Linked DNA regions of Callithrix jacchus. The protein of the gene in region 2 binds, or shares a complex with, the protein of the main gene of each other region. Links are inferred from orthologs where the notes say so. Each region holds a gene or a part of one and is shown on either strand. Other genes may lie near its edges. The genes, in order: LYRM4, NFS1 and FDX2.

The links.
Region 1: the proteins of NFS1 (region 2) and LYRM4 are in contact, whole or in part, in a crystal structure (PDB 6W1D), measured with the Homo sapiens proteins. The link is inferred for Callithrix jacchus from reciprocal best matches to the Homo sapiens genes NFS1 and LYRM4. Residues at the interface, in NP_066923.3 of Homo sapiens: Leu56, Arg57, Pro58, Leu59, Pro68, Leu69, Pro71, Arg72, Leu74, Asp75, Leu78, Glu314, Tyr317, Arg321, Asp372, Arg412, Phe413, Thr414, Thr415, Glu417, Glu418, Tyr421; in NP_065141.3 of Homo sapiens: Phe23, Tyr26, Asn27, Tyr28, Thr30, Tyr31, Arg34, Arg35, Asp38, Val65, Arg68, Gln69, Ile72, Thr78, Asp79, Lys80, Leu81, Ile82, Ile83, Asn85.
Region 3: the proteins of NFS1 (region 2) and FDX2 are in contact, whole or in part, in a cryo-EM structure (PDB 8RMC), measured with the Homo sapiens proteins. The link is inferred for Callithrix jacchus from reciprocal best matches to the Homo sapiens genes NFS1 and FDX2. Residues at the interface, in NP_066923.3 of Homo sapiens: Gln153, Lys157, Leu160, Asp161, Arg164, Ala168, Tyr175, Ala384, Ser385, Leu386, Glu387, Pro388, Tyr390, Arg393, Gln456, His457; in NP_001384335.1 of Homo sapiens: Ala104, Cys105, Glu106, Ala110, Cys111, Pro141, Leu142, Ile169, Thr170, Arg171, Asn172, Phe173, Tyr174, Val175, Asp176, His178, Lys181.

The regions. Positions count from the first base shown.
Region 1 is NC_133505.1:25,186,042-25,197,283, forward strand, and holds the start of LYRM4 (LYR motif-containing protein 4), read left to right. Parts: upstream 1-4,644; 5' UTR 4,645-4,843; coding exon 4,844-4,929; intron 4,930-11,242.
Region 2 is NC_133506.1:3,589,157-3,599,768, reverse strand, and holds part of NFS1 (cysteine desulfurase), read right to left. Parts: intron 5,735-10,612; coding exon 5,582-5,734; intron 1,792-5,581; coding exon 1,698-1,791; intron 667-1,697; coding exon 532-666; intron 1-531.
Region 3 is NC_133523.1:9,497,782-9,507,782, forward strand, and holds FDX2 (ferredoxin-2, mitochondrial), read right to left. Parts: upstream 8,810-10,001; 5' UTR 8,793-8,809; coding exon 8,642-8,792; intron 8,549-8,641; coding exon 8,497-8,548; intron 8,285-8,496; coding exon 8,178-8,284; intron 1,185-8,177; coding exon 1,097-1,184; intron 960-1,096; exon of another isoform or gene 958-959; coding exon 801-957; 3' UTR 532-800; downstream 1-531. UniProt on the Homo sapiens protein: Electron donor, of the core iron-sulfur cluster (ISC) assembly complex, that acts to reduce the persulfide into sulfide during [2Fe-2S] clusters assembly on the scaffolding protein ISCU.

The DNA.
Region 1 (11,242 bases), on a different chromosome or scaffold from region 2:
GTTTTGATCATTACTTTTAATGGTCAAATCCCCAATTACTCTTGCACCAACCTAATATCTCCTACTCCTTATTTTAATTATATACAAATGTATTTAAAGTATAAACTTCTGGAAAACGGGATCCATGTTTGATTTCTACATCATCCTCAAGTTATCATTGCGAGAACAGAAACTTGAACTACCAGGCTGCCGGCTATCTTTTGAATGCACAAATAAAATTTCACTGCCTCTCAAATATAGGATTCAAATTCATGATCTGAAACAAAAGGCTATCCATACCTGAATAAATAGTTTCCATTTCAACAGCTCAGCTGTTAAGCTATACTTATATGACTCAGCCAATGCATAATGGAAGAAATGATTTATTCCAGAAATAGGAAAAACATCACTAAAATAAAGTTAGTGCAGGGCTAACCACTTCTGCGGTCCCTCCCTTCCCACCTCCTACCATCCTAAAACACTTAGAGTTCTCTAAATAGATCAAGCACCCTTCTGCCTCCATGCTTGGAATATACAATACAATCTTTAACCACATTCCTCATCTGGCTCTTACTATTCATTCTAGAAACACCTATGATGGAAAGCCTTCCCTTAGGTGAAAGTCCTAGTTCAATATTCCTCTTCTGTATTCCTTTAGTATTTGCTAAATTATTGCTCTTATCACAGCAACTGTCAAAAAGAAATTATTGGCCAAGTGCCACGGCTCACACTTTATAGTTATAAGCTGAACTCTTTGGGAGGCCAAGGCAGGAAATGCACTGAGGGGTTTGAGACCATACTGGACATCATAGTGAAATCTTATCTCTACCAAAAAAAAAAAAAAAAGTTTTCTAATTTGCCAGACATGGTAGCATGAGCCTATAGACCTAGCTACTTGGGAGGCTGAGGCAGGAAAATCACTTCAGGAGTTTGAAGTTTAAATGAGCTATGATCATACCCCTGCACTCCAGCTTAGGAAGCAGAGCGAGAACCTGTCTCTATAAATTATTGTTTGGTTTATCTAATCACCTACAGGTTTCTTAGGGGTGGGGAGGCTCTCATCACTGTAACTATGTCATCTTATAGTTTTGTCCTCATATGTTATGGTACTTATTGGCCAGGCACCGTGGCTCACACCTATAATCCCCACACTTTAGGAGGCCAAAGCAGGTGGATCCCCTGAGGTCAGGAGTTCGAGTCCAGCCTGGCTAACATGGTGAAACTCCATCTCTACTAAAAATACAAAAAATTAGCCAGGCATGGTTGTGTATACCCGTGATCCCAGCCACTTGGGAGGCTGAGGAAGAAGAATCGCTTGAACCCGGGAGGTAGAGATTGCAGTGAGCTGAGATTGCGCCATTGCACTCCAGCCTGGGCAACAAGAGTGAAACTCCGTCTCAAAAAAAAAACAAAAAACAAAAAAAAATAATAAATTATGGTACTTACGAAGTCTTCAATAAATGCTGAAGGAAGGAAGGAATGAGGAAGGCTTGAGTTTGTTCATCTATACAAATGAATGAGTTGATATATAAGGTCTTCCCCCTTCATATTCTATTAAAATGAAGGATCAATGTATAATACTTAGATTCATGTCTGGTGTAGGATAGAATAATTTTTTTTCTTTTGGTTTTTTTTTTTTTGGAGAGGGTCTCACTCTGCTGCTCAGGCTATAGTGCAGTACCGTGATTATGGCTCAACACAGCCTCGACCTCCAGGACTCAAGCAATCCTCCCACCTCAGTCTCCTGAGTATCTGGGACTACACGCTGTCTCCTGAGTAGCTGGGACTACAGGCACCTGCCACCACTCCCAGCTAATTTTTGTACTTTTTGTGTAGAGATGAGGTTTGCTATGATGTATTTTTTTGTATAGATGGGGTTTTGCCATGTTGTCCAAGCTGGTCTCAAACTCCTGGGCTCAAGTAATCTACCTGCCTCGGCCTCCCAAAGTGCTAGGATTACAGGTGTACAGCACCATGCCCACCTGAATAATTTCTAAATAATATCATAAGTTACTATTTCTATACAAATTTTACTCCATACATCACTTTGATATTTAAGCTTCAGGACAGTAAATTGTTGTTATGCTGTTTATTATGATTTGAGAAATTTCTCTTCACACAGCACTAGGTGGTCATGGACAACCCTAATTTTAATAGAAGATAATACAAGATTTTACATAAAGAACTATAGTTACTTGATAACTTTGGATAAACGAAAAACGAATACTAAAGAAATTTTTATGTTTTGATTCCTAAATGGTACCTCCTATTGTAGATATTCCCTAAGAAAAATTTCAACCCAGAACAGAATGCATGTTAAGGAACATATGGGTATGGTCCATTCTTCAGCTTCTGGCCCATTCTACTTACAGTCTCAAATAGAGTTACTTTCTTCTTTTTTAAAAACAAAAAAAGGCATCTCCACAATAAAGATATGCAAAAGTGAGATGTAGCTTTTGAATTAATATTTTCTATTAGCCTCTCAAGGCAATGATGTCCATCAAACTGGTAAACCATTTTAAATAAAATAATGAGGTATTTTTGTGAAGACTTGGCTCAGAATTAACTGGGAAGCTATCGCTTTCCTAACTGCAACCATTGCTTGTACTAACAGAGGACAAGGCTACCCAAACTATCTAAACTATACATATTTACTTGGAAGTTTTATTTGATTACCACAAAGTTGAGTCATTTAGATACATTAATTATATACATTAATGATTAAATTCCTTAATAGGTTGAAACAATTGTAACTGGCTTACTGCAACCTCCACCTCCCAGGTCCCTGATTCTCCTCCATTAGCCTCCCAAGTAGCTAGGATTACAGGCACGAGTCACCAGGCCGAGCCAATTTTTGTATTTTTCAGTAGCGTGTTGTACTGGCCCGAGCATAGAAAGTTAACACCAAGACAAAAGTATGCCAAATTGCAGGGTCTTAATTGCCGGCGGTCACGGAGGACTCTCGTCTCTCCAACCCGTGGCCCTGAAAGGAGGGTGTCAAGAACTTTTACGCCTGTAAACCACCTTGGGGGTGAGGGTGAGGGGCTTTAGACATTCCAAGGGCCAGTGGATTCCGTAAATTACCTCTGGGGCGGAGATGAGAGTGAGGGGCTCCGGACATTCCCAGGGCCAGAGGGCTTTGGATATTCCGATTGTGGCTTAAGCGGTTTACAGAAGTCAAGATAAGTGTTAGTTTACACGTTGTCTGGATATGGGTGGAAATTACAGACCTTAGTTACTTATTACAAGTCGCAGGGGCCAAGATGGCGTGGGTTTGGACTGCTTGCCTGTCACATCAGGGTTACAGAGAGCAGTTTCAACACAAAGCCTAGGTATGGTTGAGGTATGCAGCTTTATGGGGCTTTTACCATGTCACAACGACGGGGTTTCACCATGTTGGCCAGTCTGGTCTTGAACTCTTAACCTCATGATCCGCCCGCCTCGGCCTCCCAAAGTGCTGGGATTACAGGCGGGAGCCACTGCGTCCAGCCCTTTTGTTTTTACGTATAAAGGTACTCCTCACTGTGCTTGAATGCAGAAAGGTGTCGTTCTTCCTAAGGTTATGTAAAGCAAGATTCCAAAAATAAGAAAATTGCTTTGCGAACACAGTACTAGAATTGGCTGAGGCTTCCCTGCCTCCAGTCCCATGCTCAAAAATTAGAACAAGCAACTTTATCCACCACTTTAATAAGGTAATTCAAAAAAGTTTAGGTCAAGCCATGGGAGAAAACTTGCTCTGCTTCTTGGAGAATACCTAAACCCCTAAAGGTCTCTAATTATTCTCCGAGGTCTACAGCCAGGCTGCATTTTACAAATTTATTAGTTTACAAAACCACGGGGACACTTCACTCAAAAGCAAATCCACATCAGGAAAGAGGAAAAAAATCCACGGCCAATGTAAACCCCCTACCACACCAACTGCCCACGTCGCACCCCAGGCTGCAACGAGGCCGGCACTCACCCACCGCTCTCCCGGGAAACCCAGACCCAAGTGTTTCAAAATCGGAAGCGTGGCAGGCTAGTTCGCTCTCAGGGCAAGAATCTTAAACCCCAACTGAAGAGACACCCCTGTACGCTGGGCACCGCCATTTTGACAGAAAGCGGGCCTGTCCCGCAGGCCCCTATGCAGGTCGCCCTGAGCAGCGCCGGAGTACCACAGAACCCCTGGCTCATCACCTCCACACCCAGACATCGCGCCTCCCAACATAGAGAAGGCCATGAAACCCCATCCAGCCGAGCAGGATCGGGCGAAGTCAAGTCACCCTTGAAATCCCGCAAGGCCTCTCAGGCAGCACTGAGGGCGGCCGCAGCCAGTGGGGGCGGGGAATCGGCGGTCAAGGGCGGGCCTTCGGCGCGGCGGCCTTCGGTAACCCTGGCAACGCAGCCTCCTGGAGGTACTAAGGGCCGCTGCGCCTTGAAACACAAATGTCCCCTCCAAGACCCCGGACGGTTCGCAAAGGCTCTCCGTGGTGCAACTGCAGTTCTCTCGGATGCTCGCGCCTCCGATCTTCGTCCCCCAGGGGCTTGGCTGGATGCCCCGACGGCCAGGCCTCTAGTTTCCCCGCCTTTCAGCCGCTTGGAGCGGCTGCTGGGTCCAGAGCCTCCAGCCGGGGGCTGGGCGGAGCGGAGGCACCTCCCTCCAGGCACCGCCCCCTTAGCTGCCCCGAGGCCTGCCTGTGCCCGCCTTGGAAGAGGCCCGGGATGCCGGGTGCCGTCTGCGGTCCTCAGGGGTGCCCGCCTAGCTGGCAAGGCCGAGCCGCCGCACTTTATTTCGTTCGTAGTTTCTGCACAGGCTGAAGTTCCGTGGGTTGGGCTGGACTTGGGACCTCTCCGAAGAGGACCCGTTTGTTTTTTTCTTTCCAAAATGGCAGCCTCCAGCCGCGCACAAGTGTTAGATCTGTACCGGGCTATGCTGAGAGAAAGCAAGCGTTTCAGCGCCTACAATTACAGGTGACGCGGCGGTCGCCGGGGACCGGGGGCCGGGGGCCGGTGGCCGGGGGCCGGGGGCGCGGGCTGCCGCGGAATGTCCTTGGAACCACCGTCCTGCGCCGGCGGCCGCGAGAAAGGGACCGGGTTCCGCCATAGAAAAGCGTGCTCCTGCCTGCAGGTGTGGCCTCTGAGACCTCGGGGAGGAGCGGAGGGCTTGCTCTTCTTTCTACCAGGGAAGACGTTCACGTCTTATAACGTTTTCCCCCTAAAGTCTACCTTGGTTGGTGCTCTCGGAGCATGATTAGTGTTATGTTTCTGCAGAAGAGAAAAAAAAGATGGAAATCAGCCATTGGTGAAGTTAAGGCCAATATGTTGCATACGTAAAACTTCCCTAGAGCGTGGAAATGGCCAGTGAGTAGCACACAGCTAAAAAGCTTAAGGCACACGCTAGCACCTCCCTAAAGTTTCCCAGGTGTCGTAAAGAGTTCTTTTGGTTGCCAGAATCAAATCCGTTCTATTTAGGGTACGATGGAAAGGCTTAGCGGTAAAGGAAAAAGGACCTCACAGGCTTTGGAGCTGAAACCTCAGTTTATCCTGGCTCACCAGACAGATCCTGCTTATTGACCTTGATAGCAGGACACTGAGGGTCTAAACTCTTACATCTTTAATATAACACATTCACTTTTTTACATGCCTCACCATTCCCCTATTTGCCTATGATTCTTTTTCTGTTGCTGCCCAGGCTGGAGTGCAGCGGCGTAATCTCAGCTCACTGCAACCTCCGCCCCACGGGGTTCAAGTGATTATCCTGCCTCAGTCTCCCGAATAGCTGGGATTACAGGCGCCCGCCACCACGCCTGGCTAATTTTTTGCATTTTTAGTAGAGACGAGATTTCGCCATGTTGGCCAAGCTAGTCTCAAACTCCCAACTCAAGCGACTCACCTGCCTCTGCCTCCCAAAGAGCTGGGATTACAGGCGTGAGCCACCGCGCCCGGCCTGTATGGTTTTTTCTAATTCAGAACCTCTACTTTCACTTTGTTGCTGCTTCTGACCCATCATTTCCTTATGGATTCTCTCTGCATTTTTTTCAGATGTGTTGTTTGGTTTGGTTTGGTTTTGACTAACTGCTACTCCTCTCTGATTTTAAGCCATATTCCCCTGAGAAAAAATCTGACTCGATCAATCATGTCTTTACCCCAAGCCTCACTTAGGTGACTGGCCAGCCTATGGACTGGATGTCATAGGAGCAGAGCCTACCCTTGGAACACACCTGGTTAGGTAGGCTCCCCTCTACCAGGTGTGTGAGTTGGCAGACCGACCTGAACAACCTCTGTCAGAAGAAAGGAACAGTAAGCCTCTTAAGCAGTGACTCTCAAATGTTTAGAAACCTGCTTAGAAAACATGTTCATTCTGCAAATTTGAGAACAGCATCTAGGTCATACCCCTGAAGTCGTATCCACCCAGTTAAGTGGTTAAATTTCACCGGAGAACATGATTTTACTTAATGACTTTGACTTTGGAGAGTAATGAGTGTAATAATAGGCATACTGGTGGAATTTTTAGCAAGATTAAACAAACACCTAGCACCAAGTACTTAACCAAGTCTGTTGAGGGAACACATGAAATATGCACGTTATATACATAGAAACCATTTGATTTCACCATAGTCTGGAGGAAGATACTTTGTTATTTAGACTGAGGATACCTAAGGACTTGGAACCAGCAGGGAGTTCACACACTAAAGAAAATGGCAGGGAGAGGGTCTATGTGAGAGCATGTAGAAAGTCAAGGTGGAACCCTCAAAGACTATAACTTGGACTTGTCACTCAATCTCTGTTTTTCAGAGCTCTTGTTTGTGAAATAGACTGTTGGACTAGACAGTCTCTAAGGACCCTTCTATTTCTGAAATTCTCTTTGGAAGTGATTTATGAGCAAATGAATCCCAATTATTTTCAAATGAGTAGTTGCCAACTGAACAGGAAAATCATTCAAGAAACTCAACAGGAAAATTATTCAGACTGCAGGAAAATCATTCAAGGCTGTACCTGAAAGGCAGAAAATTGAAAATGGCTTTCAGTATGGACAACTGTAAGATGATATACATTCAGAAAATAATTGGTCAAATTATACTTAAACATATAATTTTCAGCTAAATTTACTACCCAAATATAAATGTATTATTCAAAGGAGTCTGGTAATCATTTTATACTGTTGCCTGAGATCATGGACCTAAAAACTTAGGTTTCTGCTACTGTCATCTCCCAAGATAAACTTACTTGTTATAAAATATGTCCTTCTTTTACATTAAGGCTGTGTCTTGTGGATTTCAAGAACAGTCCCTTCCCTCCACTCTAATCTCAGCAGCTATTTGTCACTGATGGCAAATCAATAGCAATACAGCATCCACTGATCAATTCTGTGTGCGACTGCTATCTTATCATCTTCATGTCTATTAACATGTTTATTTTTGACAGTAATCTAGTGAGGTAGGTACTATTTTTATGACCCCGTAGGGCAGCTGAGGCACAGGGAGGTTAAGTCACCTATCAAAAGTAATATAGTTGGGAGGCCGAGGCGGGTGGATCACAAGGTCAAGAGATTGAGACCTTCCTGGTCAACACGGTGAAACCCTGTCTCTACTAAAAATACAAAAAAATTAGCTGGGCATGTTGGCACGTGCCTGTAATCCCAGCTACTCGGGAGGCTGAGGCAGGAGAATTGCCTGATCCCAGGAGGCGGAGGTTGCGGTGAGCCGAGAACACACCATTGCACTCCAGCCTGGGTAACAAGAGCGAAATTCCGTCTGAAAAAAAAAAAAAGTAATAACAGGCAGTGCTGGATAAGCAATCAAAAGTAGACTAGTAAAAATGTTTTAATGACCTGCAAATTGTGGTGCCTAAAGTAATTGGAATAGTGAAATAAATACTTTGGAACGCTCTTGCAAGACATAAAATATAGGCCATGTTTTGATAGCATGAGCCCTGTCTGTTCCTCCAGTCTCAGTCAAGGTCCCACCTATGTATCCTGTCCTCTATCATCATCAGTTGTAGTTTCCTATGTGCCACATCCTCTTGGGCCTCCAGGCCTTTGCCAGTACTGTTCTATCCTGCAGGTCCTTTATTGCTTCTGTCTAGAGTGCCTCCTCTTCATTCAAGACTCAGCTCAGTTGTTACCTTCTTTGAACAAAAGTTTTCCCTACTCTCTTCATCTCATAGTCTCCACTCCCATCCCTCCCTCCACCCAAACAGGTCTCATTGCTGTATGTCATTCTTTTCCCTCAGTGCTTCTACAAAACTTCTCTGAAGCATATTTTGCCCAGTGCTATACCACAGCAGTCCCCTACCTTTTTGGCACCAAGAACCAATTTTGTGAAAGACAATTTTTCCATGGACTGGGTCAAGGGAGGGGATAGTTTTGGGATGAAACAATTCCACCTCAGATCATCAGGCATTAAATTCTCATAATGAGCTCATGTGCGTGCACAGTTAACAATAGGTACTCCTATGAGAATCTAACGCCACTGCTGGTCTGACAGGAGATGGCACTCGGGCCATAATTCTCACCCACTGCTCACCTGTTGTGTGGCTCTGTTCCTAACAGGCCATGGACCCATACCAACCAGTCTGTGGCCCCAAGTTAGGGAGCACTGCTATGCCAGGCCCTGAAGAGAGAAAGATGAGTTTTGAACTAAACTAGGCACCTGCCATCAGTGGCTTTACAAGCCTATGTGGGACACAGGTACAGAGATAGTTGTCACAGACTGGTTTAACTGCTGTGACAGAAGGATGCACAGAGTGTAAAATCTAGAAGGCCTTTCAGCGGGTGACATCAGATCAAAGGTGTGAAGCAGCATGTGTGCTCAGGCAGGCAAACAGCAGAGCAATGCCAGGGAGGTAAGTATGATGCAGGGGGTGACAGGAAGGAACTGAGGTTGGAGAGGGCCACTGATTTGAGGGCCTGGGGGCCATGCTGAGGACCCTGGACTTCACCCTTAGCTCACAGGCAGCCACTAACATGACATGACCAGATTTGCATTTTTGATAGATCACTCTGGCAGCAATGTAGAAGATGATTTTGAGGGACCAAGGACATCAAATGGCTGTTGATTGCAGCTGTGCAGGGTAGAGATTAGGATGCTAGTAAGGACAGGAATAGTGGAAGATAGAGATAAATGTTGTATTTGATGAATCATTAGAAGGGAAACTGTTAGAACTCAAATGACTGGACTGAGGACTAAGGAAGAAGAGAATCTAAGCAGAGCCTAGAATGGCATCCAGGTTTCTGGTTACGCTAAGACAAGGAGAGGGTGAATTTAAACTTGCACCATTAACTAACTTCAGTAATACAGAAATAGCTGGACGTCTGGAGAGAGGGTTTTTTAGCTTATTTTTAGGGTATACTGAGTGCAGATGTCCCCTGGGATTCCCAGCAGAGGTAATCAACAGGGCTCTGAAGCTCAGAAGAGTAATCAGAACCACAATAGTCAGCACCACCAACTCTATGTGACCCTGAGCAAGTCACACCACTCTCTGTTCTGCAGTTTCTTTGTAAGAATCATAACTGATCCATCTCACACAGTGTAAAAATGTCCCAAGACAAATACATTTAAGAACCACGTTCTTTTTTTTTTTTTTTTTTTTTTTTTAGTTGGAGTCTCGCTCTTGTTGCCCAAGATGGAATGCAATGGTGCGATCTCAGCTCACTATAACCTCCACCTCCTGGGTTCAAATGATTCTCCTGCCTCAGCCTCCTGAGTAGCTGAGCCACCTGCCACTACACTCAGCTAATTTTTGTATTTTTAGTAGAGACAGGGTTTCACCATGTTGGCCAGGCTGGTCTTGAACTCCTGCCCTCAGGTGATCTGCCCACCTCGGCCTCCCATAGTGCTGGGATTATAGGTGTGAGCCACTGCACCCAACCAGGAACCGCATTCTTAAACTTTGTCTTCTTGGCTCTTCTTCTTCCACCTCCTTTAATATTGATGTTCCCTAGAGTGGCATTCGTAGCCCACTAATTTTTCTCACCCTAAACTAGGATTTCTTAATGTTGGCATGACCAACCTTGGGCCAGCTAATTCTTTGTTAATGGGGACTGTAGTCAGCGCCACTGCTTAAGTGCGTTAATATACGTCAAGTACTTAGGAAAGTCCCTGATGCTAAATGGGTACTTGATAAGTAGAATTATCATCATAAGTCAAGTTAAAACCTAGATATTAGGTGAATTATTTAGGAATACTATTTAGGTTAGTAGTTCTTATCCTGGGGTGATTTTATTTGACAATATCTGGAGATTTTTGGTTGCCACAACTCGGAAAGGGGGTGCTAAGCGTCTGAGGCCAGGGAGGCACAGGGGACAGCCCCTATTAACAAAGAATTAATTGGCCCAAAAGGTTGGTCACACTAAGACTTAGAAATCCTAATTTAAGGTAAGAAAATTAGTGGGCTATGGATGCTATTCTAGGGAACATCAAAATTGAAGGAGTTGGCGGAAGAAGAGCCAAGAAGACAAAGTTTAAGAATGTGCTTCTTCAGCTTAACTGGTCTTAGGCCTTTTACATTCTTAAATATTGCTGAGGAGCCCAAAAAGCTTTTCTTTCTGTGGGACACATCATATTAGAAATCAAAACCAAAAGCTTGTAAAAACACCTGTTTTTAAGTGACTATTAAGTAACACTTTTATGAAAAATAACCATTTTTTCTCCTCAAAAATTAGCAGATTGATAGTTTGACACTTGTGCAAGTGTCTTTCATGGTTGGCTTACTAGAAGACAACTGGGTGCTTATATTCGTTGCTACCTACAATTTGTTGCTATATCACATGTTACTTAGTGTCTGGCAATTTCCCCTATCTACTCCTAAGAGAATGCAGATGTCTTCCTGGTAACTGTGAAAATAGTTTTACTGGTGGATCCCCTGAAAGGTCTCAGAGACCTCTGCCCTAGTCCCTTGAATAACTACTGTAGGGTTTAAGAAATGGGAGAAGACCAAGTAAAGAGTAGTGTTGCAGAAGCCAAGGTAGTCATATGTTTGGGAAGGTAGCTGTGGTCAGCAGGGTGGCTTGCCTTAGCAAGGTCCAGTTAATAAAGAGGGGAATGTGGTCCGTGGGTTTGGCAGTGTAGAGACCTCTGGTACCATTACCAGAACAGCATTGTTAATAAAGTGCTTATGGCAGAACCCAGCTTGTGGGGGTTGAGACATGAATCAGAAGTTGCTACTGTTGAATATCGACACCCCTTCCACCTCCCACTGGAGTCTTGGTTCAAAACCATAAGAGTAGATAACCGCTAGAGCAGGACCCCATGAGAGGTGAAAAGTGGTACATGAGAGCACAGCT
Region 2 (10,612 bases):
ATTTGTTAAAGAGAGCAATAAAGAATGGCCTGCTGTTGCCTGGACACAGTGGCTCACGCCTGTAATACCAACACTTTGGGAAGCCAAGGTGGGCGGATCACGAGGTCAAGAGATCAAGACCATCCTGGCCAACATGGTGAAACCCTATCTCTGCTAAAAATACAAAAATTTGCAGAGCATGTTGGCACATGCATGTAGTCCCAGTTACTTGGGAGGCTGAGGCAGAAGAATCACTTGAACCGGGAGCAGAGTTTGCAGTGAGCAGAGATCGCATCACTGCACTCCAGCCTGGTGACAGAGTGAGACTCGGTCTCAAAAAAAAAAAAGAATGGCCTGCCGTATAGTAACTACCAAGGTCTACAAACCAGCAAGCGTTTCTGGCTATTGCTAATTGACACTTGCATTCTAGAAGGGACTCTGAATGTACAACTTCCTCTGAGACCAACAGTAGTCCCAAATGACTCTGACAAACATCTATCAAATGTCTTGCTGGAAAGTACAGAGAAGAGGAACTCAAGAAGGGGCTGGTACCTTTGGGACCATAGATTTTGTGACCACTGATGCTCATGAGATCAATTTTCATGTCGTTGACATCAAGTGGGATTTTTCCAACAGCCTGGGCTGCATCAGTATGGAAATATACCTTTCTGGAACTGCAAATCTGCCCTGAGGAAACAACAGAGGGGAAGACCCACAGCAAAGTGTTGGGAAGTAATGTATCAGTATCCCACAATGCACTGTGAATTATCTCCACCAGCAGTAAATGACCTCCGTCAATATTAAACTCCTCCCCTCCTTCCACCTAACCCCTTATACTTCTTTTCCTTACCTCCTCTCCCTTCTCCCTTCCTCCCTCTCTCAGTCTCCCCAGCTTCCCTTCTTTAGAATAAAAAAGATGAAGGGCAAAGCAGCAGGTCAAAATACTCCTGATATTATCATGCATACTATACTTAAAACTTACCACGTCATTTACACCAGCCTTTCAAAATGTCAGATTTTCTTCCAGATCCCTTTTGATTTTAAAAAACAAACAAACAAACAAACAAAAAACTAACAGCTCTTTGTGCTAATGTGCCTAAGGAGATTACAGGGTGAGCTCTATCTGGGAATAATAAAGAGATGTTCTAAAAGGAAAAAGGGTAGAAGCCTTTTTTTGTTTTGTGGTTGGTTTTGGAAGCAACTGCAATAAAAGGAAAAATCATAAAAAATACTAGACCTGCCTGGGCACAGTGGTTCATGCCTGTACTCTCGGCACTTTAGGAGGCCAAGGCAGGTGGATCATCTGAGGTTAGGAGTTTGAGACCAGCCTGGCCAACATGCTAAAACCTCGTTTCTACTAAAAGTACAAAAGTTAGCTAGGCATGGCGATGCATACCTGGTAGTCTCAGCTACTTGAGAGATTGAGGTGGGAGGATTGCTTGAGCCCAGGAGGCAGGCGTTGCAGTGAGCAAATATCATGCCACTGCACTCCAGCCTGGGTGACAGAGTGACACTCTGTCTCAATTTAAAAAAAAAAAAGGTACTAGACCTGAATTCAAATACTGGCTACGCCACTTACATTGTCCTTGAACAAAGTACTTAGACTCTCTTTCCCTTGATTTCCTAACTTCACTCCATAGAGTATTACAGTTATCAGTCTACTACCTCATACAGACCACCATGGTGGGCAGGGATCAGGGTTAACCCATGATACTCACCTATTTCTGCAATAGGCTGCTTCACTCCAATCTCATTGTTCACAGTCATGATTGAGACCAGACTAGTATCTGGCTGGATAGCAGCCTCTAGTTCCTAAGGATATGTAGGAGTAAGGTGACTAGATAGTGCAAACAAAGTCCTCCTAAATCAGAATATAGGCAAGCTTAGTCGTGAAAAGGAGCTTTATGCTAACGAGCTATCTGAATAGTTAACTAAAAACAGTGACAACACAGAATGTTGGTGAGGATGCATAGACTCTGAATGATTCATACATTGTTGGTGGGAATGTATGTCACAGCCACTTTAAAAAGAGTTTGACAGTTTCTGTTTCTCATCAAACTAAACATGAAATTACCATACAACCCGGTAACTGCACATTTGAGTATTTATCCCAGAGAAATAAAAATTAAATTCACAAAACATCTTACACAAATGTTCACAGTAACTTTATTCATAATAGCCAAAACCCAGAAACTACTCAGATGTCCTTCAATAGATGATTTTGGTATATCCATAACATGGACTACTGCTTACCAATCAAAAGGCACAAACTACTGGCACATGCAGCAATGAATGAATTCCCAAAGACTTATGATTAGTGAAAAAAGCCAGTCGAGGCCAGGAGTGGTGGCTCACGCCTGTAATCCCAGCACTTTGGGAGGCTGAGGTGGGTGGATCACCTGAGGTCAGAAGTTCAAGACCAGCCTGGCTAACATGAGAAACCCTGTCTCTACTAAAAATATAAAAATTAGCTGGGCATGGTGCGATAGTCCCAGCTACCTGGGAGCCTGAGGCAGGAGAAATGCTTGAACCGGGGAGGGGGAGGTTGCAGTGAGCTGAGATTGCACCAATGCAATCCAGCCTAGGCAACAGAGCGAGACTCCACCTCAAAAAAAAAAAAAAGAAAAGGAAGGGTGGATATGGTGGCTCACGCCTGTAATCCCAGCACTTTGGGAGGCCCAGATGGGAGGATCACCTGAGGTCAGGAGTTCAAGACCAGCGTGGCCAGCATGGTGAAACCCTGCCTCTACTAAAAGTGCAAAAATTAGCTGGGCGTGGTGGTACGTACCTGTAATCCTAGCTACTTGGGGAGAATTGCTTGAACCTGGGAGGCAGAGGTGCAGTGAGCTAAGATCGCACCACTGCCCAACAGCCTGGGTGATAGAGTGATATTCTATCTCAAAAAAAAAAAAAAAGAAAAAGAAAAAAGCCAATCCTACAAGACTGCATACTGTATGATTCCATTTACATGACAGTATGAATGACAAAATTAAAGAAACTGCCAGGTGTGGTAGCTCACGCCTGTAATCCCAACACTTCCGGAGGCCAAGGTGGGCAGATCACCTGAGGTCAGGAATTAAGACCAGCCTGGCCAACATGGTGAAACACCTTCTCTACTAAAAATATAAAAATTGGCCAGGTGCAGTGGCTCATGACTGTAATCCCAGCACTTTGGAAGGCTAAGGTGGGCAGATCATGAGGTCAAAAGTTTGAGACCAGCCTGGCCAACATGACGAAACTCCGTCCCTACTAAACATACAAAATAAGCCAGGTGTGTTGGTGCATGCCTGTAATCCCAGCTACTTGGGAGGCTAGTGCAGGAGAATTGCTTGAACGCAGGGGGCAGAGGTTGCAGGGAGCAGAGATCACACTATGGCACTCCAGCCTAGGCAACAAGAGAGAAACTCCATCTAAAAAACAAAAACCCCGCAAATGACAAAAGAAAAAATACATAGCTTTCTTTTTTGAAGTGAGGAAAATGTCCTGGAATATGACAGAGATGACTGTTGCAAACTCTGTGAATTGTACATTAAAAAATAGTGAATCATACAATTTCAAAAGATGAATTTTGTGGTACGTGTATTATTAATTTTTCCATTAAACTGGAAGTTAAATGGTACATGAATTATATCACAAATTTCTAAGGGCTTAAAAAAAGCACCAAGTAAAGAAATCTGAATGTCAGGCAAAATGAAATTATGCTTCATGCCAAAGGAAATGAGAAATCTCTCAAGATTTCTGAGTAAAGTGAGAAAAGGTCAAATGAGTACTTTGGAAATAAAGTCTGATAAGGATGTGCAGGACACGCTGGAAGGTTGTAACTAAAGGGCTACTTCAGGCAACAGAGATTAAAGTCCAGAGGTAGCTAAGACACAGGATATAATCCAGTCAAAGAAGTGAGAAGAGGCTGAGCAAGGTGGCTCACATCTGTAATTGCAGTGCTTTTGGAGGCCAAGGTAGGAGGATCGCTTGAGTCCAGGAGTTCACTACCAGCCTGGAGGACATAATGAGATGCTGCATCTATAAAAAATGCTTAAAAATTTAGCCAGGCTAGGCACGGTGGTTCATGCCTGTAATCCCAGCACTTTGGGGGGCCAAGGCGGGTGAATCACTTGAGGTCAAGAGTTTGAGACCAGCCAGGCCAAAACGATAAAACCCCTTCTCTACTAAAAATACAAAAAAATTAGCTGGGTGTGGTAGCATACACCTGTAGTCCTAGCTACTTGGGAGACTAAGGTGGGAGGATGGTTTGAATCCAGGAGGCAGAGGTTTCAGTGAGCTGGGATTTTGCCACTGCATTCCAGCTTGGGTGACGGAGCAATACTCCATCAAAAAACGAAACAAAAACAAAAATTTAGCCAGGTGAGGTGAGCCCAGGAGTCTGAGGCTGCAGTGAGCTATGACCATACCATTGCACTCTAGCCTGGATAACACAGCAAGACCCTGTCTCCAAAAAAAAGAAAAGAAAAGGAGACAGAAAGAGAGAAAGAGTGAGGGAGGGAGGGCAAAAGGGAAGAAGGGAGGAAAAGAAGCAGGGAGGAAGGAAGGGAGGGAGGGAAGAAGGAAGGGAGGGAGGGAGGAAGGGAGGGCAGGAGTCAGAGAAGGGAAAGTATAATTCCAGTGACATTATAAGAAAATGGCCATAGATATGAGTGTGAGTGATTGATGAATGAATGTGAAAAAGACAAAAAAGGGAGGAAATAATGAATGATAACAATTTAGAGTTTAAATTGAGGGGTCCATCTACAAACAGCATGTTAAGATTTGTCTAGGGATGCTGATATACAAAATCTGGTGGATAAGATTCAAGAAAATGATACCACTTCTTTAGCAGGATGAGAAGCATCAGTGCAGGGAAGGAGGAGGCCAGAGCTTTGCCATGGTGAATTTGAGTCCCTGGCATCCTGCATATGTGGCCAATGGCTCTCATACAAACCAGAAAACACCAACAATGGTAAGAAACATGTCTTCCAGGCCAGGCACAGTGGCTCATTCCTGTAATCCCAGCACTTTGGGAGGCCAAGATAGGCAGATCATCTGAGATCAGAAGTTCGAGACCAGCCTGACCAACATGGTGAAACCTCATCTCTACTAAAAATACAAAAATTAGCTGGGCCTGGTGGCAGGCACCTATAATCCCAGCTACTTGGGGGACTGAGGCAGAAGAATCGCTAGAACCCATGAGGCGGAGGTTGCAGTAAGCCTAGATCATGCCACTGCATTCCAGCCTGGGTGACAAGAGCAAAACTCTGTCTCAAAAAAAAAAAGAAAGAAAGAAAGAAACAAGTCCTCCTCCAGAGGTTGCAGTGAGTTGAGATCAGACCACAGCATTCTAGCCTGGGCAAGAGAGCAAGACTCCATCTCAAAAAAAAAAAAAAAGAAAAGAAAAGTAAAAAAAACAAAAGAAACAAATCCTCCAGAGAAAAGGACAGTATACACTCAAGGGGAACATGATCTCTTTCTATGCCAGGCCTATTTCTCTAAACCTCACCCTAAATGTTAGATCTAGTCCTTCAAGCTCCAGTTAGAGCCCAAGAGAGAAATTTACAAGCTGAAGCCAGGCTCCTCCATTATTGCTCCTCATGCCAATAGCCACTCCTACCTTCAGGTCAATGATCCCACTCTTCTGCACTGGGAGGTAGGTGACCTGAAAGCCCTCAGCTTCCAGTGAACGGCAGGAGTCCAAGACACATTTGTGTTCTGTCTGGGTGGTGATCAAGTGCTTTTTCCGTGATCTGTAGAACCGGGCCACTCCCTAGAAATTGGTGGTGGGGATAGATGGAAGGAGAACATACTCAGAGAGACAGCAATGACTTTGATCTCATTTGTAAAGGAAAAGTGGGCAAGAACAGTACGCTCCAACACCAGTTCTCTCATACCAACTGAGTATCATATAATTCAATTCTGAGGCTAACTCCCCAGACTTAGTGAAAACCCCATGGGTTAAGGGCAAATCACACAGGACTGCCCCTAGTTCAGATGCCAGAAGTAAGTCCCAGGTCTCTTGAGCTACCCATACTCTGCCCAGCCAACTACAAATTCAGGGCTTCCTGAACGCCCCTCAAGTTAAATAATTTATTAGAATAACTAATATTTGTACAAACCCATAGAATGTACAACACCAGTGAATCTTTATGTAAGCTATGAACTTTGGGTGATAATGATAATGGTGTATCAATATCAGTTCACCAACTGGAACAAATGTATCACTTGATGGAGGATACTAATAATGGCAGAAGGCTATGCATGCCTGAGGGCAGGGCATATATGGGAAGTTTCTGTACCTTCCTTTCAATTTTGCTGTGAACCTAAAACGGCTATAAAAAATAAAGTCTACTGAAATAATAATAGTATACGGATTAATATAGGTATTTAAAAATCTGGAGAAAAATACAGCAAATTAACAGTGATTATGTTTTTAGAGAGTTCTACCCTATATTACTGGAAGATTTATGTTTCATTCATTGAACCAGTATTTAGCACCTATAATATGACAAGTAATTTTCTTGAAAAACAAAACAAAACAAAAAACAAAGTCTTGCTCTGTAGCCAGGCTTGAGTGAAGTAGCACTATCCTGGCTCACTGCAACAACCTCCGCCTCCTGGGTTCAAGCAATTCTCTTGCGTGAGCCTCCTGAGTACTGGGACTACAGGCGCCCACCATCATGCCCCGCTAATTTTTGTTTTTAGTAGAGATGGTGTTTCACCATATCGGCCAGGCTGGTCTCGATCTCCCGACCTTGTGATCTACCTGCCTCAGCCTCCTAAAGTACTGGGATTACAGGCATGAGCCACTGCGCGTGGCCACCAAGTGATTTTCCTTTTTTTTTTTTGAGACAGAGTTTCGCTCTTGTTACCCAGCCTGGAGCACAATGGCGCGATCTTGGCTCACCACAACCTCTGCTTGCTGGGTTCAAGCAATTCTTCTGCCTCAGCGCCCAGAGTAGCTGGGTCTACAAGCGTGCACCACCATGCCCAGCTAATTTTTACATTTTTAGTAGAGACGGGGTTTCACCATGTTGACCAGGATGGTCTCGATCTCCTGACCTCGTGATCCACCTGCCTCAGACTCCCACCAAAGTGCTGGGATTACAGGTGTGAGCCACTGCGCCCGGCCCACCAAGTGATTTTCTAGGTACCAGCCATATAACAGTAAACAAGTCATGAGTAGGTGTTACTTTTTTTTTTCGAGACGGAGTTTCGCTGTTGTTACCCAGACTGGAGTGCAATGGCACGATCTCGGCTCACAGCAACCTCTGCCTCCTGGGTTCCAGCAATTCTCCTGCTTCAGCCTCCGGAGTAGCTGGGACTACAGGCGTGCACCACCATGCCCAGCTAATTTTTGTATTTTTAGTAGAAACAGGGTTTCACCTTGTTGACCAGGATGGTCTCAATCTCTTGACCTCGTGATCCACCCGCCTCGGCCTCCCAAAGTGCTGGGATTATAGGTGTGAGCTACCGCGCCCAGCCCAGGTGTTACTTTTAATATCAGAAGAAACAATAAAGGTACGTTTAAAAATTCCTGGATTTTCAACTATTACAAGAAAATAAAGAACCATTCATCTCATTTAAGCAAAAAAAAAAAAGGGTCCAGGTGTAGTGGCTCATGCCAGTAATCCCGGTACTTTGGGAGGCCAAGTTGGGTGAATCGTCTAAGGCCAAGAATTTGAGACCAACCTGGTCAACATGGGGAAACCCCCTCTCTCTAAAAATACAAAACTTAGGCAGCCACAATAGCAAGTGCCTGTAGTCCCAGCTACTCAGGAGGCTAAGGCAGGAGAATCACTTGAACCCAGGAGACAGAGGTTGCAGTGAGCCAAGACCGTGCCATTGCAGTCCAGCCTGGGCAACAGAGCGAGATTCCATCTCAAAAAAAAAAAAGGAAGGAAAAAAAGGGCTGGATGCGGTGGTGGTGGCTCATGCCTATAATCCCACCACTTTGGGAGGCTAAAGCAGGAGGATCGCTTGAGCTCAGGATTTCGAGACCAGCCTGGGTAATGTAGTGAGACTTCATCTCTACTTAAAAAAAAAGAAAAAGATTAGCTGGGCATAGTGGTACACATCTGTAGTCCCAGCTACTCAGGAGGATCACCTGATCCCAGGAGGTCAAGGGCGTGGTGAGCTGAGATCTCGCCACTGCACTTCAGCCGGGGTGACAGCAAGACCCTGTCTCAAAAAAACGAAAAATGAAAAAAAACAAAAGGGGGCCAGGAGCAATGGTTCACACCTGCAATCTCAGCACTTCGGGAGGCCAAGGCAAGGGGATCACTTAAGGTCAGGAGTTCGAGACCAGCCTGGCCAACATGATGAAACCATGTCAATACTAAAAATACAAAAATTAGCCAGGGGTGGTGTTTGGCACCTGTAATCCCAGCAGCTCGGGAGGCTGAGACAGGAGAATCACTTGAACCTGGGATGCAGAGGTTGCAATGAGCAGAGATTGTGCTACTGCACGCCAGCCTGGGTGACAGAGCAAGACTCCATTTCAAAAAAAAAAAAATTCATATGTATGTACTATTTTTTACATACCTATATATATACATACCTGAAACAATACTAAACAAAATTAGTTTACAATTAACAGGATAAGCCTGGGTGCAGTGGCTCACACCTGTAATCCCAGCACTTTGGGAGGCCTAGGTGGGCAGATCACCTGAGGTCATGAGTTCAAGACCAGCCTGGCCAACATGAGGAAAGCCCGGATCTACTGAAAATACAAAAATTAGCTGGGCATGGTGACAGGCACCTGTAATCTCAGCTACTTGGGAGGCTGAGGCAGGAGAATCACTTGAACCCTGGAGGTAAAGGTTGCAGTGAGACAAGATTGTACCACTGCACTCCAGCCTGGGGGAGAGAGAGAGAGTGAGACTCCCTCTCAAAAAAAAAAAAAGAATTAACACTATCAATTTTGTAGAGCAGGATCAGGGATTAGGGTTCCTGGGGGAAGGAGAGGAAGATTTACACTTCATTTTATTTTATTAATTTTATTTTTATTTATTTATTTTTTGAGACAGTCTTGGTCTGTCACCCAGGCTGGAGTGCAGTGGCTCGATTTCAGCTCACTGCAACCTCTGACTCCGAAGTTCAAGCGATTCTCTTGTCTCAGCCTCCCAAGTAGCTGAGACTACAGGTATGCACCACCATGCCCGGCTAATTCTTTTGTATTTTTCAGTAGACATAGGGTTTCGTCATGTTGCCCAGGGTGGCCTCCAACTCCTGAGCTCAGACAACCTGCCAGCCTTGACCTCCTAAAGTGCTAGAATTACAGGCATGACCAACTGCACCTGGCCTACATTTCATTTTAAATATTTCCATTGGTTTGGAAAAAACACACTATACGTGACAGAATCATTTTTCAAAAATTAAAGTTGAAAGAAAGTACATCTCCCCCCAGAACTTACAAAAGACTATTACGTTTAAAAACAGAATATAAAGGTACAGTGGCTCAAGCCTGTAATCCCAGAACTTTGGGAGGTAAAGGCAGGAGGATCACTTGAGCCCAGGAGTTCAAGACCAGCCTGGGCAACATAGTGAGATCCCATCTCTAAAAAATTAAAATAAAAAAATTAGCCAGGTGTCGTAGCACATGCCTGTAGGCCTATAGCTACCTTGGGAGGCTAAGATGAGGGGATCTCTTGAGGCCAGAAGTTCAAGGTTGCAGTGAGCTATGAATGCACCACTGCACCACCTCAGCCTGGGTGACAGAGTGAGACCTTTTCTTTTTATTGAGTGTGTGACAGAGTCTCACTCTGTCACCCGGGCTGGAGTACAATTGTGTGATCTCGGCTTACCTCACTACAACCTCCGCCTCCCAGGTTCAAGCAATACTCCTGCCTCAGTCTCCTGAGTAGCTGGGATTACAGGTGCCTACCACCACGGCTGGCTAATTTTTGTATTTTTAGTAGAGACAGATTTCACCATGTAGGTTAGGCTGGTCTCAAACTCCTGACCTTAGGTGATGCACCCGCCTTGGCCTCCCAAAGTGCTTGGGATTACAGGTGTGAACCACCGGGCCCGGATGAGACTCTGCCTTATAAAAAATAGATAAATAAAATAAAGCAGAATATTAAGCCATATAGGCCAAAATTATAACTATGTAAACATAGTCTGTTCACAAGGATAAGGAACATAAAAGAAAACCATTTATAATTGACTTATACTCTATTTTATCCCAAAAAATATTTACATAAGGAATGTAAAAATGGTTGGGGATGGTGAGGGTAGTTCGAAATGTTACAGTTGTTTATTAAAATTTAATTTAAATGGTATTTCACCAGCCACCCATCTTATTTTATTTCAGTTACCCATGATGTAGATTTCTTTAATAACTTAACAGATTATTTTACTAGATGCATGATGGCAATTAAAAGAAACACCATCACAGCTACTCTTAGTGATCCTGTAGGTATGGAATCTTTGGAGACTTCCAAAGCAAATATTTTCAAGGTTTTGAAAATACTCTCAATTTCAGAAACCATCTGCACCTTCGGAGGGACCTTCACCCTGACTCTCTGGTCCCGGCAGTCCCAAGGAAGGATGCCTTCCTGCTAACATGATCAGGCACAGTGCTGATGACCCTGGAGCCTGTCCTAGGACTCCTACATTCAGGCCAAGGTCAAAGAAACCAACGCTA
Region 3 (10,001 bases), on a different chromosome or scaffold from region 2:
ACTTCAGGTCATCTGCGCACCCCTGCGTGCCAAGAGCGGCCTGGACCCCACCAAATCCCTCCGCAACTGCGGGGGCGGGGCCTTCCACGCTGGCCCTCCCCCCCGGCAATGGGGGCTCCCAGGCCTCTGCCTCAGATCCCCAGTGGGATCTCCGATCCCAGAGAGAGGAGAGCCCGGGTCCCAGCACAGCAGATGAAGGTGTGTGTTTTTGTTTTGAGACAGAGCCTCACTCTGTCACCCAAGCTGGAGTGCAATGGCCTGATCACTGCTCCACTGCAGCCTAAATCTCCTGGGCTTAAGTGATCCTCCCACCTCAATCTCCCGAGTAGCTGGGACCACAAGCACTTACCACCACTCCATGCCCATTTTTACTTTTTTATAGAGACAGGGTCTCGCCATTTTGTCCTGGATGGTCTTAAGCTCCTGGCCTCAAGTGAACCTCCCGCCTTGGCCTCCCAAAGTGCTGGGATTACAGGTGTGAGCCATGTGTAGACCCCAGATCTGTCCCCTAAGGACACTCAACATGCTGGGGCCTGTGATACTGATTTATTGCAGCTCCAATCTGAGTCCACTCCTATTCACACCGATTCTCAGGGGCTTGGGGAAGGCCACCCAACAAGGCGCCCTGTCCCCACCAGAGCCTGGACATGGGCACCTCTCCCAAGCAGGGGTGCTGTCCTTCTCGGGGGCTTCCACATCTCTCCCAGGCCTGTCCGAGCTCTGGGCGGGGCTGGCACGTGGCTATTCCCTCGGTTTGGGCCCTGGGGCCTTGGCAATGTGGAAAGGTCCAGGCACCCATGTCAATGGGGCTTGGGAACATGGCCGTCCACGTAGAAGTTCCTGGTGATCTTGGGCAGGGTGAATTCCGCTCCTTCCAGCTCCCGCGTTAGCACGATCTGGCAACCCAGCCGTGAGTTCTCCTGGAGGAGGGGGGCCATGTCTAGCATGTCGTCTTCCCTGGGGTGGTGACACGGGCAGTGTTAGCCGAGGGCATGCTGGTTGTGGGGCGGGGTGGGGGCTGGAAGTGGGGAGGACAGTGGGGGCTGTCCAGAAGTCTAAGCTGCAGCTTCCAGCCAGGCAGGGCTGCCCTACTCACCTCTCCTCGGGAGGAGGCAGGAGATCCAGGTGGTCTTCACTCACATACACATGGCAGGTGGAGCAAGCCAGGGAGGCTTCGCAGGCCCCTAAGGGCGGGAAGCGAAGGGGGTGTAGGTGAGTGGCACAGTCAGGAGGGGGCTGCTCTGTGGAGTGAAGGGCAAAGAGAAGCCCTCTCTTCCACCACGTGTCTCCCTCCCGGGTCTGCAGCCTCACAGCTAGCCGTTCCCCAGCTTTGTATAGGGTTTACAAAGGGACTCCCCAGGAGGCTGCGATGCAGAACCATTAAGGAGCATGGACTTGGCTGCCAGAGCTGAGAGGGGAAGGCCAGGCAGGCTCCCAGCAGCCTGTGAGCCCTGGCTATGACCCTATCACTGTGCTGGGCAAATGTGTCCCCACCTCTTGGCTACTCTTGGAGGATGGACCAGCTGACTCAGCAGTCAGTGTGGTGGGGGAAGGAGTCAGGGATTAGCACTTTTTTTGAGACAGGGTCTCACTCTATTGCCCAGGCTGGGGTGCTTTGGCTCCATCACCGCTTACTGCCTCAATCTCCCAGCTCAAGCAATTCTCCCACCCCAGCCTCCTGAGTAGCTGGGACTACAGGTGGACACCACGCCACCATGCCTGGCTAATTTTTTTTTATATGGACTTGCAGTCCATGTTTGTTTTGTTTTTTTTTGAGATTGAGTTTCACTCTGGTTGCCGAGGCTATAATGCAATGGTGCGATCTCGGCTCACTGCAACCTCCTCCTCCCAGGTTCTAACTATTCCCGTGCCTCAGCCTCCCAAGTAGCTGGGATTACAGGCATGTACCACCACAACCAGCTAATTTTGTATTTTTATTAGAGATAGGGTTTCACCATGTTGGCCAGGCTGGTCGAAAGCTCCTGACCTCAGGCGATCCACCCATCTCACCCTCCCAAAGTGTTGAGATTACAGGTGTGAGCTGAGCCTCCATGCCCAGCCCTTTTTTTTTTTTTTAAAGAGATGAGGTTCACCATGTTGCCCAGGCTTGTCTCAAACTCCTAAGCTCATGAATCTGTCTGCCTTGGCTTCCCAAAATGCTGGGACTACAGGTATATGTCACTGCACGTGGCCAGGAATTAGGGTTGAAAGAGACAGAACCTGAGGTTTTCTGCTAACCACCTGCTCTTGGTCACACCCCCCACATCCTCTGATCATAGAGACCCGTGCCTGGGGATCATGTCCCTCCTGGCCTAAAACCTTCCAAAAGGTTTTCAAACCCAGAATCAAATCCAAACTCCTCCACTTAGTCCTTCATTTCCCCCATCTCCCTCATTCATTCCTTTTCTTTTTTACCTTTTGAAGTTTTTTTGTTCTGTTGTTGTTGTTTTTGAGACAGAATCTCACTGTTACCCAGGCTGGAGTAGAGTGGCGTGATCTCAGCTCACTGCAACCTTCACCTCCTGGGTTCAAGCGATTATCCTGCCTCAGCCTCCCACATAGCCGGGATTACAGACTCCCACCACTACGACCAGCTAATTTTTGTATTTTCTAGTACAGACGGGGTTTCACCATGTTAGCCAGGCTGGTCTCGAGTTCCTGACCTCAGGTGATCTGCCCGCCTTGGCCTCCCAAAGCGCTGGGATTACAGGCATGAGCCACCGCACCCCACCCTGTTTGGCTTTTTCTGTCTTCCTGCTTTGCATGAACTGTACAACTTACTCCTTGATGCAACTGGAACCCACCAAGCTCACCCCACCACAGGGCCTTTGCACTGACTGTATCCCTGGCCTGGAGTACCTTCCTTTCTACTTTTTGTTTCCGGTTTTTGTGTGTGAATTTTTGAGAGGGAGTCATGCTCTATCACCCAGGTTGGAGTGCAGTGGCGTGATCTCAGCTCACTGCAACCTTCACCTCCTGGGTTCAAGCAATTCTCTTGCCTCAGTCTCCTGAGTAGCTAGGATTACAGCCCACCACCCTACCTGGCTGATTGTTTTGTGTTTTTAGTAGAGATGGGGTTTCACCATGTTGTCCAGGCTGCTCTTGAACTCCTGACTTTACATGATCTGCCTACCTCAGCTTCCCAAAGTGCTGGGCTTACAGGCTTTGATCCTGGCCTGTTTCAGTTTTTTTTTTTTTGGGATAGGGTCTCACTACGTTGCCCAGGCTGGCCTCCATCTCTCAAGCAATCTTCCTGCCTCAGTCTCCTGAGAAGTAGAGACCACAGGCGCCCACCACCACACCTGGCTCTTTCCTTGGCTGGACCCTTCTTGTCTTCAGGGACTCCACTCACCTGTCCCCTGATTCCCACATCTCCCGTGTCTTGTCCCTCTCCCTTTTACTTTCTGTATTTATCAGTCAGAAGTAACCGTCTTCCTCTCTGGCTTGACCTGCTCCCCATCAACCTGCCCTTCTCTGTCTGCACTCAGCCTGGCATGTTACAGATGCGCAAGGAACATGTGTCAGGCTGGGTGCCTGTCATCCAAACCCACGCCTGTCATCCCAGCACTTTGGGAGGCCCAGATGGATGGATCGCTTGAGCCCAGGAACTTGAGATCAGCCTGGGCCATATATTGAAACCCCGTCTCTACAAAAAATACAAAATAATTAGCATCTTGCTAATCCCAGGCGTTGTGGCATGCGCCTGTAGTTCCAGCTACGTGGCAGAGCCTGGGAAGGTCGAGGCTGCAGTAAGCCATGTTTACACCACTGCACCCCTGCCCAGGCAGCACAGGGACCCTGTCTCACGGCAACAAAAAGCAGCATTTATCAGTTGGGCATGGTAGCTCATGACTACAATCCCAGCACTTTGGGAGGCTGAGACAGGAAGATCACACTTGAGATCATGAGTTCGAGGCCAGGAGTTCAAGACCAGCCTGGGCAACACTAGGAGGTCCTGTCTCTACAAAAAAATTAGCTGGTCATGGTGGTGCATGCCTGTGGTCCCAGCTACTTGGGAGGCTGAGGCAGCAGGATTGCTTGATCCTGGGAGTTCGAGGCTGTAAATCTTGATTGTGCCACTGCACTCCAGTCTGGGAAATAGAGGGAGAGCTTAAATTAAAAAAACACACACTCAAAAAAAAAAAAAGAAGAAAAAGAAAACAACATTTGTCCTCAGTGCACAGGAAGACGTTAAACTAAGAATTTTTCTCCCCTTTCTAGACTTGTCAGACCACGAGGGTGGATCTGGATGGCAGCCTCCTGACCTGGCTTCGCCTCCCTGTTTGCTTCAACCGTCACCGATGGGGCTCTGTGACCAATCTGCCCCGTCTCTATCGCTTGGAGAGAAACTGCCTGGACCTTGAAACTCCAGTCAGTCCCTGCATGTCTCGTCAGCCCCATTACCCACCTCGTTAGCATCCTCATCACATGAGATTGAGATAATCTAATCTAGTCATTCCAGCCACTCACTCACTTCACACTGGCTTCATGCCAGCCACTAAAAACCACCAAACACTGTTGAATCTTCACAGCAACCCAGTGAGATCGGAATTAAATTATCCAATTGTATAGACGAGGAAACAGAGGCCCAGAGAAGCTAAGTCCCTTTCTCGGGGTTATGTATCTGGTAAGAGGCAAACTTGGAACACAAGCCACTTACCTCTTTTTTTTTTTTTTTGAGACAGAGTCTCACTCTGTCAGCTAGGCTGGAGTTCAGTGGTGTAATCTCAGCTCGCCGCAACCTCTGCTTTCCCAGCCCAAGTGATTGTCCTGCTTCAGCCTCCCAAGCTGCAATTACAGGCGTGCGCCACTACGTCCAGCTAATACTTGTATTTTTAGTAGAGACAGGATTTCACCATTTTGACCAGCCTGGTCTTGACCTCAGGTGATCTGAACATCTCCGCCTCCCAAAGTGCTGGAATTACAGGCATGAGTAATTCGTGCCTAGGCAGGCCATTTACCTCCAAAACTCACATTCTGGCCGGGCATGGTGGTTCATGCCTGTAATCCCAACACTTTGGGAGGCTGAGGCAGGCAGATTACCTGAGGTCAGGAGTTTGAGACCTGCCTAGCCAACATGGCAAAACCCTGTCTCTATTAAAACAACAAAAAATATTAGCCAGCTGTGGTGGCGGGCGCCTGTAATCCCAGCTGCTTGGAAGGCTAAGGCAGGAGAATCACTTGAACCCAGGAGGTGGAGGATGCAGTGAGCCCATATTATGCCATTGTACTCCAGCCTGGGGGACAGAGCAAGACTCTGTCTCAAATCGACCAATCAGTCAACCTCACATTCCAATCTCTGTCCTAGACTGCAGGCCACTGGACTCCAGAACAGGACTTTAGGTAGGCCTTTCCTCCCCCAGCATATCTTCCCTTTAATGATAAAACAAAGGTCCCTGATATATTCACCCTAAAAGCAAACCCTGTATATTGTCTTCCAGACAACCCTTCCCAAGTTGCTCATGACATAATTCTATATTTACCTATGGGATTTTTGTCCCTATTAGGCTGAAATTGGTGTGAGATGACAGAGGCCTTATTTGTTTTGTGTATTGCTGCCTGACGCCTAGTAGGTATTCGTAGAAAGGCAGCGCAGATTCGTGGCTAAAATGGGCGGGTGAATCTAGTATTGTCATTCACTTAACCTTAGACCAGCTCTACTTAACCTGGGGTTTAGTTTCCTCATCTATAATATGGAACAGCAGTCTCTACTACTGAATAAAGTTGTCATGAAGATTCAATCAGTGAATATGCATTAACATGCTTAAAGAAACACATATATATTTTTTTGAGACAGTCTCGCTCTGTCGTCCAGCCTGGAGTGCAGTGCTGCCATCTTGGCTCACTGCAACCTCTGCCTCCCAAGTTCAAGTGACTCTGTGCCTCAGCCTCCTGAGTAGCTGGGATTATATGCATGTGACACCAAGCCCAGCTAATTTTTGTGTTTTTCGTAGAAACAGGGTTTCGCCATGTTGGCCGGGCTGGTCTTGAACGCCTGACAAGTGAGTCACCTGCCTTGGTGTCCCAGAGTATGGGGATTACAGGCATGAGCCACTGTGCCTGGGCAATACATTTTTATTATTATTCTTCTCTCAGTGAATGATCAAACACCTGTTACATCCTGACAGGCTACAGATAAGCATGAACAAGAACATGGGTCTCTGGTCTCACTAGGGGACAGATGACAAAGAAGGAAAGAAAACAACCTGGCATTGTGGCTTGTGCCTGTAATCCCAACTACTTGGGAGGATCGCTTGAACCCAGGAGTTCAAGGCTGCAGTGAGCCTTGGTGACACAGCAAGGCTCTGACTCTCTCTCTTTTTTTTTTTGGAGATAGAGTCTCACTCTGTTGCCAGGCTGGAATGCAGTGGCGCAATCTTGGCTCACTGCAACCTTCGCCTTCCAAGTTCAAGTGATTCCCCTGCCTCAGCCTCCCAAAGGCTCTGTCTCTTAAAAAGAGAAAAAAAGTTGGCTGGGTGAGGTGGCTCATGCCTGTAATCCCAACACTTTGGGAGGTCGAGGTGGGCAGGTAAAGAGATTTAGACCATCCTGGCCAATGTGGTGACACCTAGTCTCTCTTTTTTTTTTTTGAGATGGAGTCTTGCTCTGTCACCAGGCTGGAGTGCAGTGGTGCAATCTCGGCTCACTGCAACCTCTGCCTCTTGGGTTCAAGCAATTCTTCCACCTCAGCCTGCCGAGTAGCTGGGACTACAGGTACGTGCCACCACACCTAGCTAATTTTTGTATTTTTAGTAGAGACAGGGTTTCATCATGTTGGCCAGGGTGGTCTCGACCTTTTGACCTTGTGATCCGCCTGCCTCAGCCTCCCAAAGTGCTGGGATTACAGGTGTGAGCCACCACGCCTGGCCAACACCTCATCTCTACTAAAAATACAAAAATCAGCTGGGCGTGGTAGTGTGTGCCTATAGTCCCAGCTACCTGAGAGGCTGAGACAGAATTGCTTGAACCCAAGAGGCATAGGTTGTAGTGAGCCAAGATCGCACCACTGCACTCCAGCCTTGGTGACAGAGCAGGAATCCATCTCAAAAAAAAAAAAAAAAAAAAAAAGTGAGAGGTGCTATATATCATATCACACTGTTAAGACAGAGTGACTAGGGGGGCATGGGTTCTTCAGCTGGGCTGAGGGGAATGGGATTGTTAGGGACATGGCATTTACACTGAGGTCTAAAGGATGAGAAAGAGCCAGAATGTTTGCTGGGAAAGCACTTCAGACAGAAGGAACAGCAAATGCAAAGGCCCTGAGGCAGGAATGAGCTTGGCTGTTTGAACTATAAGAAAGCCAGTGGGGGCCGGGTAGCTCATCCCTGTAATCCCTGCACTTTGGGAGGCCAAGGCGGGTAGATCACCTGTCAGGAGTTTGAGACCAGCCTGGCCAACATGGTAAAACCCCAGCTCTACTAAAAGTACAAAAATTAGTGGGGTTTGGTGGTGGCTGCCTGTAATCCCAGCTACTCGGGAGGCTGAGGCAGGAGAATCGCTTAACCTGGGAGGTGGAGGTTGTAGTGAGCTGAGGTGCTGTGAGCCACTACACTCCAATGCCATCTCAAAACAACAATAACAAAAAAAAACCAAGAAAAATAAAGTCAATGTAGCTAGAATACAGGAAGGCAGGGGCAAGAGAAAACAAATTCCAGGGAGGTGTCCTAGTAATCCCTGCTCTTTGGGAGGCCTAATAAATGCTTAATAAATAAGAGCCGGGCTCCTCAGGAGGCTGAGGCAGGAGGATCGTTTGAACTCCCAGAGCCTCTGCTGTCACCCCCTTGTTGAAGATGAATTCTTGAAATCTGCCTGCTTGCCCCAGGCCAGAGCCCTGGAGCTGGCCTCCTTTCAGCCCAGTGCCAGAAACCAGCACTCCATGCAGAGGCGGAGGTTGCAGTGAGCTCAGATCGTGCCGTTGCACTCCAGCCTGGGCGACAGAGTGAGACCGAAGGAAAGGAGGAGGAAGGAAGGAGGGAAGGAAGGGAAGGAGGGAAGGAGGGAAGGAGGGAGAGAGGGAGGGAGGGGAGGGAGGGGATGGGCAACGGATGAGGCCGCAGTGAGAGGTTTGCATTTTAGTCCATATTTGGTCGGAAAAGCCATGAAGAGACACACCGGATTTGTGTGTTTTTTGGACAAATGGATAAAGACCTCCTTAATTCCCCGTGCCCGGTTCCTACCTTCCAGGTCCACCCCGTGGCGCTGGGCCAGGTGGAGAACATTGTCCCCGACTCTGCCGCTCACTGGGATTCGCTGGCCTGAGCGGTCTACGAACACCACGTTCACCCTGGGGACAGATGGAGGTGCAAATGCCGAGCTGGATGATGGACTCAGGGCCTGGGTAGAATCTAGAGTTAGGAAGTCGGGGTTGAGGCTTGACGGACAGGGACTGAATAGGGCGAAGCAGAAGGGGGACCTCGAGATGAAGCTACAGGGCAAGATGGGGACCGGAGGAGTTTCGTGGAATGAAGAATGAGGGACTTGGCCCCCTGCACTCACACGTCCCCGGGCCGCTCGGGGCCGCCCGCCTCCTCTCCAGCCTGGCGCGAGCCTGGAAAACACGGTTGGGTGAGCGGCTGCACCGAGCCCCGCCCCGCCGGCATCTAATTGGGTTAATGCCACCCGCTCCGGACGCCCCAAGTACCTGTCGCCTGAAACTTTCTGACTGTTACCGAAGCCACCGCATCCCCGGACCCCGAAGTGCCTCCAGGTCTATTCCACCAGGTGCCTCTGGCAGCCTGCAGAACCCTGGCTCTCACGCCGCCCCGGGCCATGGAGGCGGCCATGACATGCATCACGTGACACGGCAACTGAGCATGCGCCCTACCGGAAACGCGAGCGAAGTACTTCTAATTACCAGAATTTAAGCGCAGATGTTTGTTTGCTTAATGCCTGCGGTCACCATAAGGGAAGAGCAGGGTGAGATCCAATGCAGGTAATTCTGCGGGGCCATCCCAAACCTCCCACTCAAACCCACTGTTTGTTCCAAGAACCAGCCAGCTTTGATTTCTTTAAAACCATTTACTTACAAACTTTAATTCAGCAAAGGTCCATGTGGGGAGATTGGGGTTGGGGGGGAAAAATCCCCATGGAGTGGATGTGGGTCACCAGAATCAGGGGAGGGAAGCTGGTGGCCCAGTTGGCCTGCGGCAGGGCCCAGGGTCACCTCAGGTTGACAGGTCCTGCTGGTGGACAGACCCAGAGCTTATCTGCATGGAGTGCTGGTTTCTGGCACTGGGCTGAAAGGAGGCCAGCTTCAGGGCTCTGGCCTGTGGCAGGCAGGCAGATTTCAAGAATTCATCTTCAACAAGGGGGTGACAGCAGAGGCTCCGGGAGATGGATACAATGCCCGACTCCCACAGACAGACGTAAGGGGGACTGGCAGAGAAAGCCCATCTCTGCACCGAGTCCCAGGCAGGAAGGGGTGATGGGGCTGGTTCAGCAAGATGAAGGCTTTGGCCTTCTACTATCCCCAGGGTGGAGATCTTGGGTAGGGTGGCCCGATACCTAGGCCAGGGCTGTTTGGTCCATAGTCAAGCTCCCAGAGCTCCACATCTGTGGCTCTGGCCAGCAGGGCCTGGGGCCCAGCTTTTAAGGCATCAGAAGGGGAGGGGGTTGTGGCAGGGACCCCCGGGCTGGGGTACAGGCCAGATGGGCAGGCAGGGACAGGAGACAGCATGCCTGCAGCAGATGTGGGAAAAAGAGCTGTTTTGAACCGTGAAGTGTGGAATGGTGGCCCGGACAGGCCGGACCTTGAAAGAATCAGAGCTGGGGGTTGAAGAATAAAAATTAGAAAAGGAAGCAGAAGTCAGCTGTCAAAGTTAAAAAAAGGAGACAGCCTCTGTATCCTCACGGGAGGTGAGGGAAACCTCCAAGGCACTCAAAAGGCCAAAATTACAGGAGCAACGGAAGCAGGAGGGCTCCAGAGAGACGGGCACAGCAGAGGAGGTGAGGGGAGGGGAGGGGAGAGCAGGCCGGGGCCCCTCTCTCTTAAGGCTGCAGGG